Linked DNA regions of Kluyveromyces lactis. The protein of the gene in region 6 purifies or fractionates together with the protein of the main gene of each other region. This does not show direct contact. Links are inferred from orthologs where the notes say so. Each region holds a gene or a part of one and is shown on either strand. Other genes may lie near its edges.

Region 1 (2,513 bases), on a different chromosome or scaffold from region 6:
ATGATTTCGAAACAGAGATTACCCAAACTACAAGTAATCTCTAATCTTATTGCATTCAGTATATCCACACCGTTCGGGTTGCTATTCGTGATCCTGATGAGATTCGTCAGCAAGGACCTAATCGAGAAAATGAGCGATGGGCTATTGGTTCTGAGCGGTAGTAGTTTATTGTATGCTTCATTGCTTGCGTTGATCTCACCAAGTAAGGACCAGGAACAACAGTTACAGAATGATGGCCCGATCCCAGTGTCGGGTTCTGTTTTAGAGATGGGCGAAGGTGTTACCACTGAAGAGAAAATAGAACAAGAATCACTTCCAGATGTCAGATTGTTACTCTTGGGTATCTTTATCCCGTTAATGATCTCTTTCTTCGCTCCTCATGATAGCTAAAGCCAATCAGGAAACTCCTCTTTTAGATAATACATTATACACGAGACAAATCACATGTATAAAGACCTGTATATTTGAATAGATAGGTACATGTGGGCACAAATCCTCTTCTATTTACGTTTGAGACTTCTTCTTTTCAACCATTTATCCTTTGATTTCATGACACTGGTTTCCTTTTTTGGAGCCAGTGTCTTAGATACCTTCATCGACGATAGCAAGTTCACAGTGACAGGTCCTTTCTGTATTTGGGTCTTTCTCAATTCCCTTAGTGATCTCTTCTTTTGTTTCCGTAATTCTTCTTTTAGGGCCTGTTCTTCTTCTCTTTGCGCTTCTGCCGAGAAAGTAATATGTTTCGGCGTAGCCTTTGCGAAGGAAGATGCAGATCCACTTTCTAGCTCATCAAAGAACTCTTGTGGTAACTCTTCCGGCTCATCATTATCCGAACCCTGCTGCGCTACTAATTGTCGTTCAAACTCTAACATCTTTTCTCTCTGTTTCTCCTCCTCAGACTCGAGCAGCTTCTTCTTCTTCTCTAGCTGCTGTTGCTTGAACACTTTCTCGTTCTTTCGTCTCTTCTCTCTAGCTGCCTCTTCTTGTAACCTTGCAGCCTCTTCTCTTTCCTGAATCCTTTTCTCTATAGCATCTTTCCCACTACTCAAGCCTTCTTCTTCTGGCGCATCGCTATCACTCTCACTCTCACTTTCACTTTCACCATTCGCTTCTGCTTTTGTTGGTTTGAGAGCATCTAGGGTAGAGTTGCCCTCATCAGCTGTATGGAATGAATCATCCGCATCATCATCGAACTTCAAGTGTCTCTTCGCTACCAGTGCAGCACCAGAACCTAGAACTTTCTTCAAACCCATTGTTATATTTCTCAGTAAACTCTTGCCACTTGTCTAATCCAATGCACAATTGAACAGAAACACTGACAGAACGGTAACACGACCTGCTTCATGGACTAGTTCCAGTGGTTCATCTCATCTCATCTCATCGCTTTGTCCAAATTTTTCACTTCGAAAAGAAATGATACGTAAATAGAGGTCACGTGCTGAAGATTTTGTTCCTGACACTGGACTACGAGTAGAATGCTCATCACCCGTTAACGGACTGTGCTGTGTATTGGCTGGTTCTGGTGCTATTTGTTGGTTAGATTATATCAATTTATATCAACTTTATTGCTATGCTAATGGTATTTAATGTGTAGCTTGCAGTACTGAAACATCATGACACTTTAAACTCAATATCACAGAACTGGGTACCAAAAAGCATTCTTGCCACGTCTGTACCCATTATCCAGCATATACATGCCTTTATAATAACCAAGAGATATGATCTACCAGTTCCTGTTACTAAAGAATATATTATCCCAATGACACAGATGGTGATTAGGATATAAGTTATGATGACAGGATATCTTGCGTATAGCATTTGCAAGAACCGACTTAACGGACTGGTAAATGGTGATTCCCTGGATGGGGGAATTGAGGGTGACTGCACGGGGTCGCCTGAACATGGCTGATCGCTTGATGGTGGTGGTATTGGAATTGGCAACGAGGGTGTTGACCAGCAATGTATCTGTGCAGTGGGGTTGGACTCTGGGGAAATTGTTTGGTATGTTGTCAAATCAGGCAACTGTGATTCTAGTAGCGGTGACGATTCCTCCGCGACGCCGATATGACCCTTTTCTAAATCGCTGGCATTATATACCAAAGAGTCACTAACATTTCCATCAGGTAATGGTCCTACTATTATCCTAGTTGGTGTGCTGATTGGAACAGACTCCGGATGTGGTGAAGATTCCACAATGCGGACAGATTTATTCTCATGTTCGTGCGTGCCATCAACAGGTCTTAATATAGACTTGATTGGTATGGGAGTGCTGCTTTTCTGGCTACTGCTCTCACCGGATTGCATTGGTGGGTCCAGTTGTTTGGGTTTAGGTTTGGGTTTGGGTTTAGGTTTCGCTGCTGAAGCTGGTGCGTAAGTGATTGGTTTATTTCGACGTTTAGGCGAAAACCGCTTATTCAATAAGCTCTTCATATGATTTAGCTCTGTACAGTAGAAGCTGACGTTCTCTCTAAATATCTAGATTCAGATCTCGACCTTGAACGGTTGGAGAACGT
Region 2 (3,000 bases), on a different chromosome or scaffold from region 6:
AACGTGATAAACAAGCAAGAATTATGACATTGGAAAGATTTGGAAGTCAAGTGTACTCTTCTTCTTCATCTAGTAACACTGCCCGTTATAGAGCTACTTCGGCCCATAGATCGCAAGCTGATTATGCTCAAAATTATAACGAAGGAAGTGGACGTAAGAAACTAATGACTATCAGTGACATTCAGCATGGGGCAGATTTCCAATTATTATCAGCTGAGGAACAGCAGTTATGCATAACGTTGAAAATTTTGCCAAAGCCTTACATTGCCATCAAAGAGGTACTATTCAGAGAATTAATACGGACTGCAGGTCAACTCTCGAAGAAACAGTGTCGTGATTTATTGAATATCGAGGCAACGAAGGCCAACAGAATCTATGATTTCTTCGTTTCTCAGAATTGGGTTTAATTAGAGTTATAAAACTGTGGAAATATTGGCTCCACTGCTTACCTTACTACTTAATGTCAAATATGTACATAAAAATGTGTATACAGTGTCTCATTACAGTTTCTTGATAATAGCATTCAAAATAGCATACTTCGAATCAGATTTATCCATATTGGATAATAGATGTTGGGTCAAATAACCAGAATATAATGTAGTAAGTTGTTTGGCATTCGTCTCATCTAATTTGCTGATGTATGCAGAATACTTTTTGAAGGACAATTGGAGACTGTCGATGTTTAATTCGCCGGCAGGCATGAATTTGATATTTAATGTAACATCATGCAATAATAATTCCACATATTTTTCTGGCATACTTTTCTCAAGGGAAATATTATAATGTTCGTCCTTTAGCCATTGCAATACGTGATTTATCAGATATTCTCTTTTTAAATCTTGAAATTCCGAAAATAAGTTGATATACTCGAGGCATCTATCAAACAGGTAGGACATAACGTTTCTGCTGAGCTCTTCATCGACTTGCGAATTGGTAACGGCGTAGTATCCTTGATGTTTCTTGACAAAAGATGTGCCCAGATTCTTCATTGCGATATCGAATATAACCAATGCGACATCACCACGTAGTGCTGGATTAGTTTCTTCTGATCCAAGCATATTCATATCGGCTTCTGGTAACTCGTTTAGTTTATCTTTCATCTTGTCACCAGTACTTGGAAGTTGAATTCCGTCTTTGTCAAAGTATGCTTCGTCATCTGCAGTTTCTTCCAGACCTGTTACATTACTGGAGTTTCTTCCTTCCTCTTGCTGTTGTAGCATATCTAGCTCTTGTTCCCTTTCGTTGATTAAATTCATCACTTTTCTTCTATTTAACAATTTTGTCACGAAATTCAGTTCGAATTTAACGTACTCGTACCAGAGTTTAGAAGCATCTGGATTAAATCTAAGACCAGTTTGAAAAACATTTCTACAGCTCTTGAAGTTTGCGTGCAATTCGTATTCATATTTAGCACATGATATCCAAACGTCAACGTTTGTTGGATGTAATTTGAGCAATTGATTGTAGACGTTTTGAATCTTTTTATAAGAGGCATTTGTACCCTTTGATTTTAAATGATTCAAATATAAAGACCAAAATTTCAATTTTTTTGGGAACTTATTGCAGCCTCTTTGGAAAATATAGAGAATCCTCTGCTGTATGGTAAAATCCGAAATACTATTTGATTTGTTCGATTGCAAGATACGTTTAACACGTTTCATTCTTAATGCATCGACATTCTTCTCGTATTCAATATATCTGATGTAATCACTTATACTTGAACCTCTCGAACTCAATCTGTGTTCAAAATCAGTCCTTTTCTTCATAATTTTGTTTACTTCATTCTTAGTGAATAACTTCTTCTGCACTAAGTCATCAACTTCTGGAATACATTGTTCCAAGTAATATCTTGTTCTGGATGACATCGCCTTACTCTGGGTAGTTTTATGTTAAGTATTGATTAAAGTGTAATCACGGAGACTCGTATCGCTCGCTTACTGACAAAGGAAACGACTACTGGCTTTGTTCATGCTAAATAATACTGAGATGAGATGAGATGAGCCTTGAAGCTTTTGAATTTTTTTGGTTATATTGATTTCTTTTTCATATAATCAGTCAGAATAAAGTCCTCCATTTAAATAACCATCGATGAATAACAAAAGGACAAGTACAATTGTTGTTCTGCTAGCGTAAATCGGATTTTTTTTTACTGCAAATTGAATCCGCTTACATATGACATTCGGGACTACCATAAACTGCGACCCTTAATGTCGTTGTATGCTTTCATACAAGATGACAGTTTTGTTGATCGTTAATTCGGGCAATTTAACATTACCCGGATATTTTACATGGTAGACAAATTTTCGATAATCAAAAATCTGAATATGAAATAGGTTGAATACTAAAGATGATTGATTTGTTTGCGGTGATCAGACATAGGAGTGTCCAATTGATCCCCTTTGTATCGAGACATTAAGTCAGTGTATCAGAATCAGCCATGTTTTCCAAGAGACAAGGTTTGAATTTGTGCAAAAACGTATGTCAAACCCATTTTCATCACTGTTGCAATGGTAAAGCGCGGGCTTTCCTCAAACTGCATGATGATATCCTTCCGCATTAAGCAGTTATATCACCTACTTTTAGAAGATCGATTTACTAACTATTGCTCGTAATTTTTTGTTACTCTTTTCCCTATTCTCTACAGGTCCGTTACGTTTCCAACAAACCCCTTCCTAATGCTAGTCTACCGCCAAAATATACCTTAGCAACGGTTCGTTCATTCCCATCATTAGAACCATTGACATTTGCACCAGTGCCAACCTCAGTATTTGATGCTCCATTGAGAAGAGACTTACTATGGCGTGCTGTTGTTTACGAAAATGACAGTAAACGTGTTGGGTCTTCTAACCCCCCAGGCAGAAGTGATGTTGGTTATTCGAGAAGAAAGATTTTACCACAAAAGGGATCTGGTATGGCCAGAGCTGGTGACGCTAATTCACCAATAAGGCATAACGGTGGTAGAGCTCTAGCAAGAACTGCACCAAATGATTATACCACAGC
Region 3 (3,332 bases), about 540 kb from region 6:
ATTCATTTTATGCTTTGTTTATGCAAACGATTGCATATATTGGGTCTTTTTTTTTTTTGCATGACCACATCTTCTTCTCTCTCTCTCTCCCTCTCTCTAATATTCATTGCCATAGTTTCAAATTGATAGACTCATTAGTACTATAATACTCATCATATTATATTGGGCAAGCAAGGCTGGTTCTTCTTGTGTTCACTTCCTCTTTTTTTTTTTTTTCTTTTTCTCTCACTTTTATTATGGAACTATACTTCTAATCTAATACTGTAAAAGAATATGAAAGGATTCAATTCGTTACATGCAACCCATGATTCAAATTATAAAGAAGATATCTGCTAATCTCGGTAAAAGATAGTTCCTTGCTAAAAACGATTTTTCATTGAAAGGAAAACTTGATCAACTACCTTGATTTATAACTTCAAGAAAAAAGAGACATGTTTCGAGCTTATTAACGTTACAAATTTATAAATATCTAATTCAAAACTGATAGAAATTCATATATTTTATTCATCTTCGGAATCGTTGGATCTATTCGAATTAGATTTCTTGTCGTCCTCGTATTGAAAGACAGTACCGACGATTTGTTTCTTCCTTTCAGGTAAAAATGGCATGTCTTTCCTTGTCTTTCTTTCGTTTCTTTCCCTTCTCTTCAAAGAATCAATTTCAATCTTCTTAATCTCTTGAGCTTTCTTAACAACCTTAGGGACGTGTCTGTGCCTGCTAATTCTTCTGACCTCTGGCATGTGCTTGAATCTTTCTTTAAGTTTTTCATCGTATTCCAACTTATTCTTTTCACGTGTACTCTTCGCATTAGATCTCTCCCATGCCTTGGCTCTCCATAGTCTAACGTTACCATCATCTGAACCACTTACTATATACTTACTGTCCATGGTATATTTCACTTGGAAAATATGCTGCATTCTCTTTGTATGATATATTTCTCTCGAATGACCATGTTTAACTTGGTAAATTCTGATTGTCTTATCATAGGAGCCTGTTACAACTTCGTCACCAGTAGGGGAAAAATCAACATCCATAACAGCACTAACATGATCTTTAAACACATGCAAAGCTTTGGACATATTTCTCATATCATAGTAATAAGCATTATGATCTTCATTGGCAATTACGAAGTTGAAGGCTTCCACTGGGTTCCAACAGATAGAGTTTGTCCTCATGGTTTGAACAATTTTTTGTGTTGGAGAGTTTGTTCTTAGGTCATAAAGAACCACAGAGTTATCACTACCCGTACTTGCTAAAATGTCGACCTCATTTTGATTAAATCTAACATGATTGATATTGTCCGCACCCCATGAAAGATTTGATATTGGCTTTGATCTGTTTGTATCCCAAAGTTCGATTTGGGCACCACCAGTAACAAAATTCGATTTTTGTCTATGATGATCCAAAGATTGGAAAGCATGTTCACCATGGAATGTTTTGATGATACCTTCATCTGTATTCAATCTTGTATCATCTTTAACGTTGGAAAAGTCGTCAGAATTCACTGACCATAGCTTCACCGTCTTATCGTCACCACAAGAAAGCATGAAGTTTTCTCTTTGTGGAGATAAATATGAAGGAGTAACACACAGACCAGTAACCATACCGTAATGTGCCTTGAATGAACTTAACTCTTCTCTAGTTGACATGTTCCAGTACTTGATAACACCGTCACCACTAGCCGTAGCAAGTTTGTTTAATACATTGTAATTCTTTGCAATGGTGTACACACCATCCCTGTGACCGTATCCAAGCTGACCGACAAATGGCTTAGCAAACATTCTTTCAAGCTTGGTGGCATTCAAAGCCTTTGTATATTCTCTAGCTCTTTCGAATGGATGCAGAGCCGGATTTAAATTACGAGGCATCTGAGACTCTTGTGTGCTCTTCACCGGCACATAATCATCGGCACTTCTGCTGATAGTTTTGATCTTCATTTCGCTATTCTTTCAATATCCCCAGTTGGCACTAAATATGGTAGACCTTGTGCTAGTTAATCAGCAACTATGATATGGAAACAGTTCCAGTGGTTTCCTCTTCCCATTCCCTTTCACTGCTTATGATGCGATGAGATGAGATGAGATTTGCATTTCGATAACTTGAAAAATTGTTAAAAAGAAATTATGCCGAATATACAAGGACGATATAAGATGACAGTTAAAGACCTTATTAAAATAACAACAACATGATTTAGCCATTGCTACAGTCACTGAGTACTTGAGTTTCCAAAGCTGTATTGGGATTATCTTTGTGTACCCTTTTTTTACCGTTTAAGTAGTGTCATTAGTATATTATATATCTTACAAAAAATGTAATGATTGCAGAACTGTATATCTATATGTTGGGTTGCACAAAATGGAAACAAAGTGTCAAAATTCCATTCTAGTCTGTGATTCAAAGTTATCTGTATTAATTAACTGGCAAATGTCGGTTTCGGAATTCTCAAATGTGCAAGCATTGGGTTACCAATTCTTTCGATAACGTCACTGGCCCATAGAACATCCAAATGTGAATACTCATCAATATACCAGATTTTGTAGACAGAGTGTGGTTCGTGGTTGATAAAGTGATTAATCAATCTTTCTCCGTCTACAAGTCTATCTTGCCTGGGTGTGAAGAGTAAAATCTTTGGCCAATTTTCTGGCAAAGGTTTATGTTGATTTCTGTGTAAATGTTCATCCATACTTACTGTTTCATTTTGTATTGGGAACCAGGTCTTGATGTCGGGGAACATGTCTTCGGCGAAAGTCTTGAAGCTTGACTTTAAAGGGTTAAGACTTAACCACCATTGCATCAATTTCACAGATATATGCACTGGAGAAAATAGGAAATGTCTATCACGCAAGGGTCTGTCCCATAAAATATCGTTCCAGTTGAACAAGTAGTTGAACATGACGTAAGACAAAAATGAGAATATCTTGTGTCCGGCCAACAAATTTCTCATCTCCATCATCATTGGTACAAATGATTTGTTTCCGAATACCCAGCGATTATCTATGTGTTTCGCCATAAACTTAACGAAATATTTTTCATCGAGTAGTGGACCGGGATAAACAGCAGGTGCTAATGCAACTAAATTATCTAATTTATCACTCAATCTGAACTCTGTATTTTTGTAGATCTCTTCACCATTTACAAGTCCCATAAAAGCTTGTGTGGTACCCTGGGAATGGGCCACTAAGGTAAGCTTCTCAAACTTATTTTGCTTTTTTTGGAGGACACTTTCAATAAGGGCTTCAAGGTCATATCTGGTCATAGAATCTAGATCCCAATCCCATTCACCGTTGGGGGTCAGCTTTTCTCTATCCCATTTAGAGTTGAATCCACAACGA
Region 4 (2,500 bases), on a different chromosome or scaffold from region 6:
TGAATCAAAATTAAAAGAAGCATTCAGTTCTGAAGGAGATGAAATTCCATCAGTGGTTCACCAGTCAACTGTCCCGAATCTAGACTTGGTCAAGCTTTTAAGCAGTAATGAGCTTCACTCCCAAAAACTAAAAAAATTAAACAATTACAAGGAACAATTAAAAGAATATGACTCCGGACTCCAGAGCTGGATCCAATATGCTTTGAAGTCTTCTACCACATCTGATAAGGATTTTATCTTCAAAGACTACAAAGTCAATAAACATGTTCAAGATGCTTATGCTCAAGCGGATATTTTGAGTAAAAAGAACAGCGTCGCAAATACGGTGAACCAAAATGTTACACATTTGAAGAAGAAGATGTTTTCTAGCAGCATGAGAGAAAAATCTAAGGGGTTATTCTCATCTATAGGTAAAAAATTGTAGTTAAAGGCAAGATCCGAATTGTAGAATGCATTTATGTTTACATGTTATGTGAAGTTTATAATTAATGGTTTAAAAATCAATTCGAAGAGTTTTCAACTCTTGTTTTTCCATGCTTTCTAAGCTCCTTATCCATTAAATCTCTAATTCTGTGAGTGCCTGCTATTCCGATGGCCATGACACTCTCAAGTCTATCCAAAGGCACTTTATCTTCCACCATTAATAAAGATAATTTTTCTGATTTACCAATTGTGCCTATGGTAACACTGCTCATTGCATTTTCCTCAAGCGAGTTAAGGTCTAGTAGTGGTGTAGTATCATAAAGTCCCACTGAAACCCCGCTTACAAAATCATACATTGCGATACCAGCATCTATCAGAGCCAATGTTATTCCATTAAGCATTGCCCCAAGAATCCCACCATCTAACTGTAGAGCATGAACTTGAACGTCAATTGACGTACGAGGATAGAGATGAAGCATCAAGTTCTTTTCAAATGTACGCACTAACGAAGCTTGCCATTCTAAGGTTCTTCTTTCATTCTTATGGCTTGATTTGCTTCTTTCCATCTTGGCAAACTTCGTTAAGTTAATAGTAACGGATAAAGTAGCTTGTTTCGTATTGACTTGTGACCTCGAGGATGGTTCTTGAGGACCAGCAACTAATGTGATAATCTTATTGTTACCTTGTTCCAAGTACGAGGATCCATCTGCAGCATTCGGGTGAGTGTTGATGGAACAGTTGAAACTTCTTAGCTCATTCCAACGACGACCATCGACACGCAATCCCTCTGGAGAATATATTTCAAAACGTGACATTATGTTACTCTGTTAGTTAAAGTGGGTTTTCCTACACGCTAGCTGGAGGGGCTAATTTCAATCTGACAGCCTCTGCTTTGAATGTACTTCTTCTAGTAGATGTCGATGAGCTCATATTTCACTTGTAAGATTCAAAACTTGAATACTTTTTTTTTTTCAAATTCTATTTCAATAATCAGTATGAAGAAAACAGCAGCGAGTGAATCTGACAACGGATATGAAATTGGATGAACGGAATGGAACATCAAAATACTCGTCAGGACTTCGATCGTGGCTTTGAAAATGTCACAGTACGCTACAGTATATGCTAAGTTAAAATTATATATTCTTCTTATGTTGATTGTCTTGGAATGACGTTCTGGATTTGATGTCAGTGATAAAGACACCGAGTAGATAGACGTTGATGAGGAAAAACACTATATTGCCAAAGAATAAGTTGGGGAAAAATACATTTTGGCCTTTGAATTCAAGTAGATATGCTTGTGAAAGCCATACGGCTTGAGACAATATCCATAAAAATATACAGACCACACCTTTTCTCCATGTAATGGTTGTATTTGCGAAATAAAATGGGGATAATACCAAATACCAAATGAAATATTGAGAAGTGCATACTTTATTGAAAGTAACGAATGCGTATGTTTGTACGAATAGGACATTCATTAAATTTTCGAACGTCTGTGATTTCCACAATAGATAAGGTAGTACTGCACATAGTGTCAATTGAGGAACGAATGCCAGCTTAGATAGTTCGATAGATTGGGAAAGATGAATACCAGCAGATTCTAAGAGTAAGACCAGGTTCCAAATCGAAAAATTGTGTCTGTGGTCTGTTCTCGTGAGATGGTACATGTACGAGTGTTCGATAAATTCGCTCCCGTAAAGCTTGTACATGAAATACGTCGGCGCAGTTATGCCGATTAGCGTCGATATCCCTATCATGAACAATCGCCAAATGCAGTTTCTATTGTGACTCGACAACAAGAGATATATTCCGATCGGTAGCGCATAGATTATCGGATAGATCTTGAAATGAATCGATAACCCATAGAAAAGTCCTGAAATAAGTAACCTGTCTCTTTTCAAAAAGTATAAAGCACATATGATCAAAAAACATAAAACCGATTCAGCGTTTCCTCGAGTACTTATCGTTATAACAATCGGGTTCAATAACCAAATAGAAGCTAGAATTAGCTGTTTTGTCAATTGACATGAACCTTGTAATAGTTTTATGATCATCACACCTGTAATGAGATCAAATA
Region 5 (2,397 bases), about 290 kb from region 6:
TGCTAACAGTCACGATGTTGTTATGATCTCGAAACCTTTCAAGTTATTATTCCCTCAATTTAAAGAAACTGTAAAAGACGTGGACCAATTAATTGCTACCACGAAGCAGTTCTTGAAACAATGTGGTGTTCTAATCAATGATAATAAATTTGATTTGAATAGGAACAAATATTTCACTGGGAAAACATTACAAAACTGGTATAAGTCTACTATGGACACCGATGTTTCCGTTGTTTACATGAAACGTACCAATTTTGATATCGATATTATCACCAAAAAAGTATGGCAAATCAAGCAAGTGTTAGATAACTTGGAATAAATCGCATTCTATTGTACTTAACTATATCTAAAGTATCAACCCATGTATAAATAGGATATGTTTCTAACGAATCCTCACCCTTAATGGTAAAGCCTTGTATATTTTTATTTTGCTAATACAGAAGAAGCGTTCGTGTCACATTAATTATGAATCACTATGAAATTACGTTAACCATTTCATTTCATTTAAGATATTGAACCAAAGTCTGCTTATTTACCAAATATTTTGCCTTGCACTCTTCTATTAATTTTGATATGTCAGTGACGTTATCGTCATCGCTCCAAATACCGACGATTTCATGTCCATTCCTAATAAACGCAACCACAGAGTTATCTTTTGACCCGGCACTCACTAAATCAATGATTTCAATACCTGCGTCTACAAGAGCCATGGTAATAGAATTAATGCATGTGGGTAGAATATTAACGATATTTGCCTCCTCTGTTGGATTACTATTAGAATGCTGGATCAAATCTATAAAGATATCAATACCAGATTTTGGATACTTCTCAACGTTTATCACCGCATTAAAGACATTTGTTAGGAAAGTACAAATTTCTTTAATTTCTCCGGTATTCAAATGTTCTAACGTAACTTCTTTGAACTGAATCGATACTGATGCCTTAGATTGGAAGGAGCCTCGCAATGGCCTGGGTCCGAAGACAGAACTCATTACGAGAACTTGATCCGAAGTACCATCCATATATTCTAGGTATGAGGAACCATTTGCATTCGTTACTAAATCCGTACTAATGAACACAGATTCCTTACCCGATTTATTACCATTACCATCGTCCCTGTTCTCTACGGTTCTTACAGGAGTAATTGCAGCAAACTGCAATGGCTTCGCTTCTGCTGGCCCTAATATTCTTCTTCTATCTTGCACACTCATTAATAGACCTCTCTTCTGTGGGTATTAGTTTAATATAACGATGGGAAACAAACTCAAGTAAATATATGCTGATATGGCACTAGCCAACGTCAACTTGGAAGCATCTCATCGCATGTATATTCACTTGCAAAACGGTCACTAACAGAATACCACGATTGAAATAGTCGAGATGGAAAAATTCTAACGTCATCACGTGATAATATATATGTGTTTCCTATTTGTTTCCCGTTTGTTTCCGTACCGTACTTGTTTCCAAATTATCGGCAGGCAGCATTGGAACTTTTTTACAAATCAACCGACGATCAGTACGTGTGAAATGATTTCTAAACAGAAGAAGTGGCTGTCGCCCGGTATTGTCAAACCAGTAAATAGTAATAGATCCGTATTTCTGAAAAAGAGTCGTGTACTAGCTTTCGGCTCATCACCTCATACGTCAGAAGGAAACGGAGAGAACTGCTTTGTGAAGTTATATAACCACGTGACTAACTGGTGTTTCTCATATGTTTCTCATATGTTTCCAAACAGCACTTGTTTCCGGTTCATGCCAGGTGACCGTTTTCGCAAACCGGTGGAGGGGCAGACGGAGACCCCCCCCTCACAACCTGGGATTTGGCAACTAAAACACCCCACTCTAACCCGCCTTGCCAGTCGTACATACAAAAGCCAGTATCGTTTCTGGGTGTATCATCAAGACAAAGTCAGAAGCTATTCACTTGGACCAGATCGAAAGCCGAACCCTCGCTAATGCTCTCACCAGAAGCTCTTTCATGCATAGGTTTCAAGAATCAAGGCAAGTCATTCGTTCATTGGTTGAACCACCGAAGAAAAGGATGACCAAAGTACATTTTTGAATTAAACCGACTCTGTTAGTGTAACGTTTCTTCCAGGCATCTGGCAGAAATTATAAAGATTTTTGATATTACACCCCACCAATAGCCCAGGACTCTGATTAAAATCAAACTACTCTGCGAATATTGCTCAAAGTCTAACCATATAACTTGGAATGTCCATTGATTCAAACAAGTTGCAGTAGGACAGAATATCATGAATGACAGTTAACCTACAATCTTTTTTCTTGAACAAAAACTAACAATCTAAGAGAGATTGAATCGTAAAAACAAGAACATCAAGGCAGAAAGCCGTTGAATAAGGCCAACATACATCTTTACATAGGGAACAACGAGTA
Region 6 (4,248 bases):
CAGCGACTAGTATATCTGCTCTAATAGAGGGTAATTTCATACTTCCGTTGTTAGATTTTAGAGAAGAAATAGTGTTCAAAAGACAAGAGGACAGAGTTTCCTGAGCGTAAAGTACAGGCAAACCACCATCATGGTCTAAAGTTTCCAAGTCGGACAAAAGGTTGAATAAGGCATTCAATAGATTTTCGTTACTCTTTACCTTCAATTTATCCAAAGTCTCCAGAATAATAGTCATTTTCTTTAGGTGGGCTTCGGCAATTTGAGAAATATCTTGTTTCTGTAGGGCGGACTTGTTAACCGTAGACGATCTTCTTCTTCTACGTTTAGTCAAATCTGTTTGATCTTCGCTGTTTATGGTATTACTTTTCAACACAGAGACAAAAATATCTGCAGTTAATGGAAGACTTTGAAGGGTTTCTAGACCATCATATGATAGTTCTTTGTCAACTGAGGAGTCTATTATACTCTGAACAATTTTTAATTGGTTTGGGAATTTCAATGTTGGATACAAAGATAAAATTCTGTCTGCCATGATATTCGAAAGTTGTTCATATTCTGATTCCAAACAGTTAATCAAAAAATCTATCGCGAAACTGTTTTTTTCTTTTGGTGCAACAATGGCACATACCGCAGTTTCGAAGTCTTTGAAATTGGTTTTATTTTTGATGCACTTCGTTTCCCAGGAACTTCTTTCCGTGATGTATGTGGCCATAAATTGTTCGAACACCTTTGAATATGTAAAAGCATATTGTGGCACAGCGGTCAAGAGCTTTAACATTATAGTCTTCGAATAGGCGAGAGGAAGATGCAGTGCCTGGTTGCACCAAAACAGCATATATACCATGTCATTTTTGGATGGAATGACGAGGGATGAAATATCTGTACTTTCAACGATGTAATCGCTTAAAAAGTTGGTCAACCAAAACTTGCTATCTTTCGGACTTAACATTGGCACCTTTAAATTCTCTCCGTAGAGTACGTTAGATAGGAAATACTTTGCTGTGAAAGGTCTCTTGGCTATCTGTTGTAGAACCTTTTTCGTGTTGGAACGAACAGATCTAGAAATATCCATCAATGCTGTCACTAGAATAGGTACCAAAGAGAAAAGATCCGTTTGCTCATCTATACCATTGATGAATTTGCTTAACTGTGTTAGTGAAATCAATCTGAGAGCAACAGGCGAACCAGGGGATACGATGATTCTGAGCACAAACGTTATCCTGCTCTCTAAAGTAGTGAAGAAGGAGGATAAAAATAGACCTGGTTGATATCCTTTACTTACAGCTTCCACAAATAATGACAACAGCTTGACAAACTTTTCATCTTTAACAAGAAGCATAGACTCCGCTTTAGTGGAGATGAACTCTGAGTTTTTGGTCATGAAATCTTTAAATGGAACAGCTGAACCATTCGCGGTTGATGCTTTAGCATCATCTAGAACTTTAATGATATCTTCACCAGATTGTTCCGCACTGTTCTTGACGGAAAATAATGAAGTTGTCAATCTTATTTCGAAAACTTCTCCGGTCAGGTTTAGTGCTTGAAGACATTTCAAAACTAGTCCCTCGTTAATGGAAATGAAGTATTCAAAAACATCGATTAATTGTGACTTGTCCTCTAGAACTTCAGATAAATGTATCAAATCAGTGATGATAAATCTAACTTCGTATTTTTCCAACTTAATCTTCCTTAAGATTTTGACAATTTGACTCAATTTATCATGATCATATCTGATGACAGACCTAATGTATGCAGTGAAAAATTTATCTGAGGAATATTTGTTTTCATTACTCAGGAACTGTAGTAGATATTCGAATGGGAAAGAATTATCAACGAGTTTATAGATCTTGACCGGTAATTGATCCACATTACCTACACCTTTCAAGGTTTGGAAAAGTTTTGAGATTGTGACGAGAGCTTTTTTTCTAGCATCGTCTTCCTTTAAATTGGCCAAGATAGTTTCCGTAGCCGCAATGATAATGCTTTTGTTCAAAGGCAATGCGGTGGCAAGTACCGCGAGCATAGTATGAGCAGCCATTTGACAATCGCTTGAATCCGATGCCAAAAGTTTTGCGGAAATTTCCAAAATCAATGGGACCAATTTATTTAACTTATCTTCATCGTTCGCATTGAAAGCGATCACGTTAATGAAACAACATGTGGTAAATAGCAGTTGATTCGTATAGGTAACTTTTTGCTTGATAATCTTGGACAGATAATTTGAATAAAGCTTCAAGAAGTCCATATCGTTAAACAATTTGATCAACGTCAAATCGGTTGGATTCTTATCGTTTCTGACAAAATTGGTAAATGGGTTGAACAAAGGTGGTAGCTTAACGATATTGAGGATCCTTTTGAACACCGGCGTTTGGTATTGGTTCAAAGTAGATAGAAGAAGCATTTCGGCGTTATGGATATGAATTTGGAACCTACGAATCAACCATTCCGTAGCATGCAAAGCTGGAGTTAGATGCCATTTCGGCGAAATCAACATCAAATACGCATTAACTGCGTTATCCAAATCTCTAATCTGATCCTTTGTTTGAACGTTTCTATCAATGGTCACGGAAGATGCACTGAATAAGGAATTAGTGAAAACTTTGAACCTCAAGTCCAAACTCACCAAAGTATGAAACGATTCCAACGCTGTATCGTATATATACTCATAGTCCTGAGTAGCAGCAGTCTTCGGATTGTAAACCAAAGACGCAGAATGTAACTTTTGTCTTCTCTTTCTATCAAGAGCAACAGTAGCGTTATTCTGCGCTACCTGCGCTAATTGATCACGTAAAGATGACATTCTATATCGTCTCTGCCGTTGCCTGGAGTACTAGCAAGTCGAACCTGATCAAAAATCTATCGCCAGGAGATGATTGCAAAGCCAACGATTTGAACCTCATCTCATCTCATCTCATCGCTACTTTTTTTTTCTTTCACTCTTTAAAATTTTCGATTTGTTCATGCTGCGGTGAAAAGAAATTCATTTATGGTCACGTGTATGAAAATGGAGTGATACCATAAACTTGGGTCAAGTCTCCCCGTAGCTCAATATGCAAGCTACTGGTCAGTTTCCACCTGCTTTCGGATCTATTGAAGTACATACAGACTTAAGAGTTGTTTCAATACATCATGTGCCGTGCAAGGTCACACTACAAGTAATGGCTAGTTTCTGAGGAATTTCGGATCTCAGCCAACCGTATAAGCATGTTTGGCATAAACAAGGCTCATAGCAGCTATCTACTTAGCAATGCCTCAACGTTTCCATTTGAGGGTGTGTGTGAGTTGTGTGCGTTGGGCCTGCGTTCAGACTGGCTTTTCAGCAAAGGACCGGCTCATATAAGAACAAAAGAAAAACACACCTGGCTGGAGCGATGTGGTTATGCGGCGATGTCTCTGCGATTAAACTTAGATCCGAGATCTAGGCGGATGGTTCGTCCGAACCAATCTCAATGCAAAGGCTTGGGTGAACTGCAAAAATGTTTTCTTCTGGTAAACAAACTACTTTTTCGGAAGTTTGAGGCTGAGCACCTTCCTTACCTTAGTTTGCATTATGTAATTTACCGCATTATAAATTTTGTACCGTTTATTTTATATATAGGCAACGACAGGTTTAAGGAACCTTCTATCAAGATTGAATAGCGATGAGCTTAGGGGTTACAACTTGCGGAGAGATTGTTTATCCAAATAACGACATCAGTTATTGAGCCATTAATAATTCAGTCATGAAGTGTAGTACTTTGTTGTTATCTTTGGCTTTAGCTTTAGATTCCGTTTCTGCACGCGAAGGGTGCGATAAGAAATTGAGAGAGTCCTCTCATAAGGAGAAAGAGTTCAACCTAACTCGTGAATACGCTGCTGAGGTTGCTAGAGGTGTTGTTAAGTATGGTGACTTGGTTCATGTTTCTACTTTGAAGGATGGAAAGACTCCGGTGACTTTCCCAGAATACTATGTATCTTCTGATTTATGTGAGGGTGTGAATTCCACAGGTAACCCAATCTTGGTCTTGATGAACGTTTCCTCCACTTTGAGAAACTATCAGGATAACGGCAAGCTTTCTATTACCGTGGAGGACAGAAGGCCCAGACATCACGCTATGAGTTCTCCTCGTGCCAATCTTTTCGGTTCGTTGAAGAAACTTGAAACGACCAAGGCTTTGAGAGACTGTTACGGTAAAAGACACCCAGATGCCATCCCATGGTTACCTGGTGAAGAAAGTTTGGTCCATGATGGTGCATTCTACGAATTTG
Region 7 (2,701 bases), on a different chromosome or scaffold from region 6:
TGTACAGTAACATACTGGGCTAATTCGAAGAACATTTTGGCGGCAGAAGAGCGGTACTTGAATTCTGCACCAGAGACACAAATTTCTATTGACAAACACATGATGATGTTGGATGAACGAGATTTGTATCCCGAACTTAATTCACGAAACGGATTCGAATTTGAAAAGAACGACTTGAACAGATATCCAAATTTAATACATATTGTAAAGTTTAACGCTCGGGAAGAATCAGTGACTTCCTCAACAGAAAGAGACATGACCAGACTTTATATTTGATTCACTATCGCTAAGATATTCACAGCATACACTCTCATATATCCACCAAACAGATACATTATTTGTATATTCATACATACAACATATAGTACAGAACAATATCAAACGCGCTGAACGGCATGGATTAAACGACTTCTAGCTGCCAAGTGTCTTGGGATATGGTACAACCATAAGCATTAATCTATAATTGAAGAAAAGCTTCCAGTTCTTCGATACAATGCTCCTTAAGTTTCACGAGCATTTTCAGAGCTCAAAATGTGTGCGTATTGGTTTCTTGCAATGGTATCTTGTTTCACAACACGATGAATTTGATCAGTGATTTTTTCTACAATTCCGTATGCTTTATGACAACAATCAATCAACGACAAAGCTTCCATCGGCAAACCACCTGCTTTGGAGATTTGAACAACTTCTCTGTTTTTATTAAGCGTCACAGTAAGCACACCATCTCTCAATAGCTCCTCTTTTAAGGAAGCATCGATGATTGATATTTCTGCATTGTCCTCACCTTTGATATTTTCTTCTGTATCGTCTGGATTGAAGAATGAAAACGTCACACAAATTGGAACATGCAAAACACCTAGTGACACAGGTTCTCTTTCATCAATCGGATGTACCGTCACTCTTTCACCAAGAACAGTAACGTCGGGCTTCTTAAAATGAAGTAACCCAGCCATTACAGCAATGCAACTGGCATCGATTAGTCCACCATCACAATCTAAAAAGTGAACATCAGCTCTAAGAGACCAACATTTGGAGCCAGCTATTATGCATAAACCTTCTACATCTAATGCTCCTGATCGTCTTACAGCTTTCTCAATCATCCTACTGATCAATACCTCTTCTTCTCCAGTATTGTTCCCATTCTCAAACTGAGCACCTGCCATCGGTGTAGTTTCGGTACTTATATGGAAAAGTCCTTCAAACGGTCTATCTTCATAAGGTTGTGCAATTTCACAGCTGATACGACAGTGTACCTTTGTGTTACCCATGGTAACAGTCACATCACCGTATGCTTCACCTATTTCGATCTTCACATCTCTGAATTGGTCATATGAACGTCCATCTAATCTTTGTTTAAGCTTTAACGCTTCCAGGATAAATTTGGATTCAGCATTACTGATCTCTATATCTTTTGCCATCACCTCTTATCGATTTAACTATTTTGATATGCGAATGCAAGCTCTCTTCGGCTATGGTTTTCTCTTTCAGTGCTGCTCATCGCAACTCTTTAACTTTTCAAGTGTTATAGTTCTAAATCTTTCATAAGCTTTGTCTCATTTGATATGATAGAAAGATGAAAAAGGAATAAAAACAAAATTGATGCGAGTTTCTCTAGGAGGAAGACCCTGTAGACAGGTATTAAGTGGAAGAAGATCAATTATTTTAGAGCTCAACAACGGCATGTTATGTGAAGCTTTAGGTCAAAATGATAGAGGTTATCCAATACTGATATTTCTACGAAATTATTATATGCCCTTACTTATGTTTTGTTAGTTTTGAAGAATCCGTCAATTCTTCCTTTACCCTTAGCAACCTTTGGTTTCACAACTTTAGCCTTTTGAATAGGTTGTTTCTTTACGGTTTTTGTGCCATTTGGAATGGCTGTAGACATAGCAGCTTTGATAAGGAGCTCTCTTTCCCTTTCTGTTTGTAATGTTTCGTTCTTGTACTTGTCGTATGAGTCGAAACATTGTTTGATGTTAAGATTTGAAGATTCATGTCTAATTAGATCCTGGTATGCGAGTTGTGGGATCAAGGAAACTAGAAGATTACACGACATTATGCATTTCAGAGATGATGCTATATCTTCAGGTAGCGATTTTGGTATTTTAAGAGAAGTAGGGAAGTTGTTGTTGATTTTGATGACTTTCTTCAGTAGCCATTCTACTATCATTTGAGGTTCGATACGATAATACTTGTCACCAGCTTCTTCCACTGTATGTGATATTTTCCCGAGACAACTTTCCCATAATTTTGGAGGTATCTTCTCCCAATTTTCACTGTGATTATTCGTTAATTTCTCTTGGTAATCAGAACTAGTATAAAAGTTAGTATCCATATCGAGTGCGGGTGGAACGCAAGGTGTAATAAACGCTAGATCCTCACTAGTAACTTTGTTGTTCCTATAATAATACCCACATATATTAAAAGTTAAGTCATATTTTTCGGCATATAGTATCGAACCATCTTCTAGTATGTGTCCATCTTTCCTGTTCTCTTCATTGATCAAAAATGTGGATTTAAATGTTTGCGAATCTGAAGTATAATGATATTTATCATTCACTAAATCTCGCGAGCAATTATAGTCACAGCCTTTACTGAACTTTTTGATTTTAAGCTGGTATACTTTATCGTCGTGTACAAACAGTTTGATAGGTTTCTTTGATTCGTTATTCGATGGATGTGGAAGTTCAAATATTTC

The links.
Region 1: the proteins of UTP10 (region 6) and BUD21 purify together in Saccharomyces cerevisiae (affinity purification with mass spectrometry; 4 studies listed by BioGRID). This does not show direct contact. The link is inferred for Kluyveromyces lactis from reciprocal best matches to the Saccharomyces cerevisiae genes UTP10 and BUD21.
Region 2: the proteins of UTP10 (region 6) and UTP6 purify together in Saccharomyces cerevisiae (affinity purification with mass spectrometry; 5 studies listed by BioGRID). This does not show direct contact. The link is inferred for Kluyveromyces lactis from reciprocal best matches to the Saccharomyces cerevisiae genes UTP10 and UTP6.
Region 3: the proteins of UTP10 (region 6) and SOF1 purify together in Saccharomyces cerevisiae (affinity purification with mass spectrometry, with the first as the bait; 5 studies listed by BioGRID). This does not show direct contact. The link is inferred for Kluyveromyces lactis from reciprocal best matches to the Saccharomyces cerevisiae genes UTP10 and SOF1.
Region 4: the proteins of UTP10 (region 6) and SKI6 purify together in Saccharomyces cerevisiae (affinity purification with mass spectrometry; 4 studies listed by BioGRID). This does not show direct contact. The link is inferred for Kluyveromyces lactis from reciprocal best matches to the Saccharomyces cerevisiae genes UTP10 and SKI6.
Region 5: the proteins of UTP10 (region 6) and MTR3 purify together in Saccharomyces cerevisiae (affinity purification with mass spectrometry; 3 studies listed by BioGRID). This does not show direct contact. The link is inferred for Kluyveromyces lactis from reciprocal best matches to the Saccharomyces cerevisiae genes UTP10 and MTR3.
Region 7: the proteins of UTP10 (region 6) and RRP45 purify together in Saccharomyces cerevisiae (affinity purification with mass spectrometry; 5 studies listed by BioGRID). This does not show direct contact. The link is inferred for Kluyveromyces lactis from reciprocal best matches to the Saccharomyces cerevisiae genes UTP10 and RRP45.

The regions. Positions count from the first base shown.
Region 1 is NC_006037.1:682,612-685,124, forward strand, and holds BUD21 (Bud21p), read right to left. Parts: upstream 1,254-2,513; coding exon 501-1,253; downstream 1-500. Other genes in the region: Mn(2+) transporter ATX2, read left to right, coding at 1-390; KLLA0_A07645g (uncharacterized protein), read right to left, coding at 1,612-2,430. UniProt on the Saccharomyces cerevisiae protein: Functions as part of the small subunit (SSU) processome, first precursor of the small eukaryotic ribosomal subunit that coordinates the first two steps of ribosome biogenesis in transcription of the primary transcript pre-RNA and pre-18S processing.
Region 2 is NC_006038.1:119,427-122,426, forward strand, and holds UTP6 (snoRNA-binding rRNA-processing protein UTP6), read right to left. Parts: upstream 1,866-3,000; coding exon 501-1,865; downstream 1-500. Other genes in the region: chromatin-binding transcription regulator ADA2, read left to right, coding at 1-407; YML6 (mitochondrial 54S ribosomal protein uL4m), read left to right, coding at 2,438-2,476, 2,645-3,000.
Region 3 is NC_006042.1:1,438,215-1,441,546, reverse strand, and holds SOF1 (rRNA-processing protein SOF1), read right to left. Parts: upstream 1,938-3,332; coding exon 501-1,937; downstream 1-500. Other genes in the region: KLLA0_F15576g (uncharacterized protein), read right to left, coding at 2,414-3,332. UniProt on the Saccharomyces cerevisiae protein: Required for ribosomal RNA processing.
Region 4 is NC_006040.1:813,273-815,772, forward strand, and holds SKI6 (exosome non-catalytic core subunit SKI6), read right to left. Parts: upstream 1,239-2,500; coding exon 501-1,238; downstream 1-500. Other genes in the region: FYV8 (Fyv8p), read left to right, coding at 1-424; GPI14 (glycosylphosphatidylinositol-alpha 1,4 mannosyltransferase I), read right to left, coding at 1,557-2,500. UniProt on the Saccharomyces cerevisiae protein: Non-catalytic component of the RNA exosome complex which has 3'->5' exoribonuclease activity and participates in a multitude of cellular RNA processing and degradation events.
Region 5 is NC_006042.1:1,688,687-1,691,083, forward strand, and holds MTR3 (exosome non-catalytic core subunit MTR3), read right to left. Parts: upstream 1,212-2,397; coding exon 501-1,211; downstream 1-500. Other genes in the region: CHO2 (phosphatidylethanolamine N-methyltransferase), read left to right, coding at 1-319.
Region 6 is NC_006042.1:1,973,755-1,978,002, reverse strand, and holds the start of UTP10 (snoRNA-binding rRNA-processing protein UTP10), read right to left. Parts: upstream 2,801-4,248; coding exon 1-2,800. Other genes in the region: KLLA0_F21164g (uncharacterized protein), read left to right, coding at 3,723-4,248. UniProt on the Saccharomyces cerevisiae protein: Involved in nucleolar processing of pre-18S ribosomal RNA. Required for optimal pre-ribosomal RNA transcription by RNA polymerase I together with a subset of U3 proteins required for transcription (t-UTPs). Involved in ribosome biosynthesis.
Region 7 is NC_006039.1:952,774-955,474, reverse strand, and holds RRP45 (exosome non-catalytic core subunit RRP45), read right to left. Parts: upstream 1,419-2,701; coding exon 501-1,418; downstream 1-500. Other genes in the region: KLLA0_C11121g (uncharacterized protein), read left to right, coding at 1-276; RNH202 (Rnh202p), read right to left, coding at 1,760-2,701. UniProt on the Saccharomyces cerevisiae protein: Non-catalytic component of the RNA exosome complex which has 3'->5' exoribonuclease activity and participates in a multitude of cellular RNA processing and degradation events.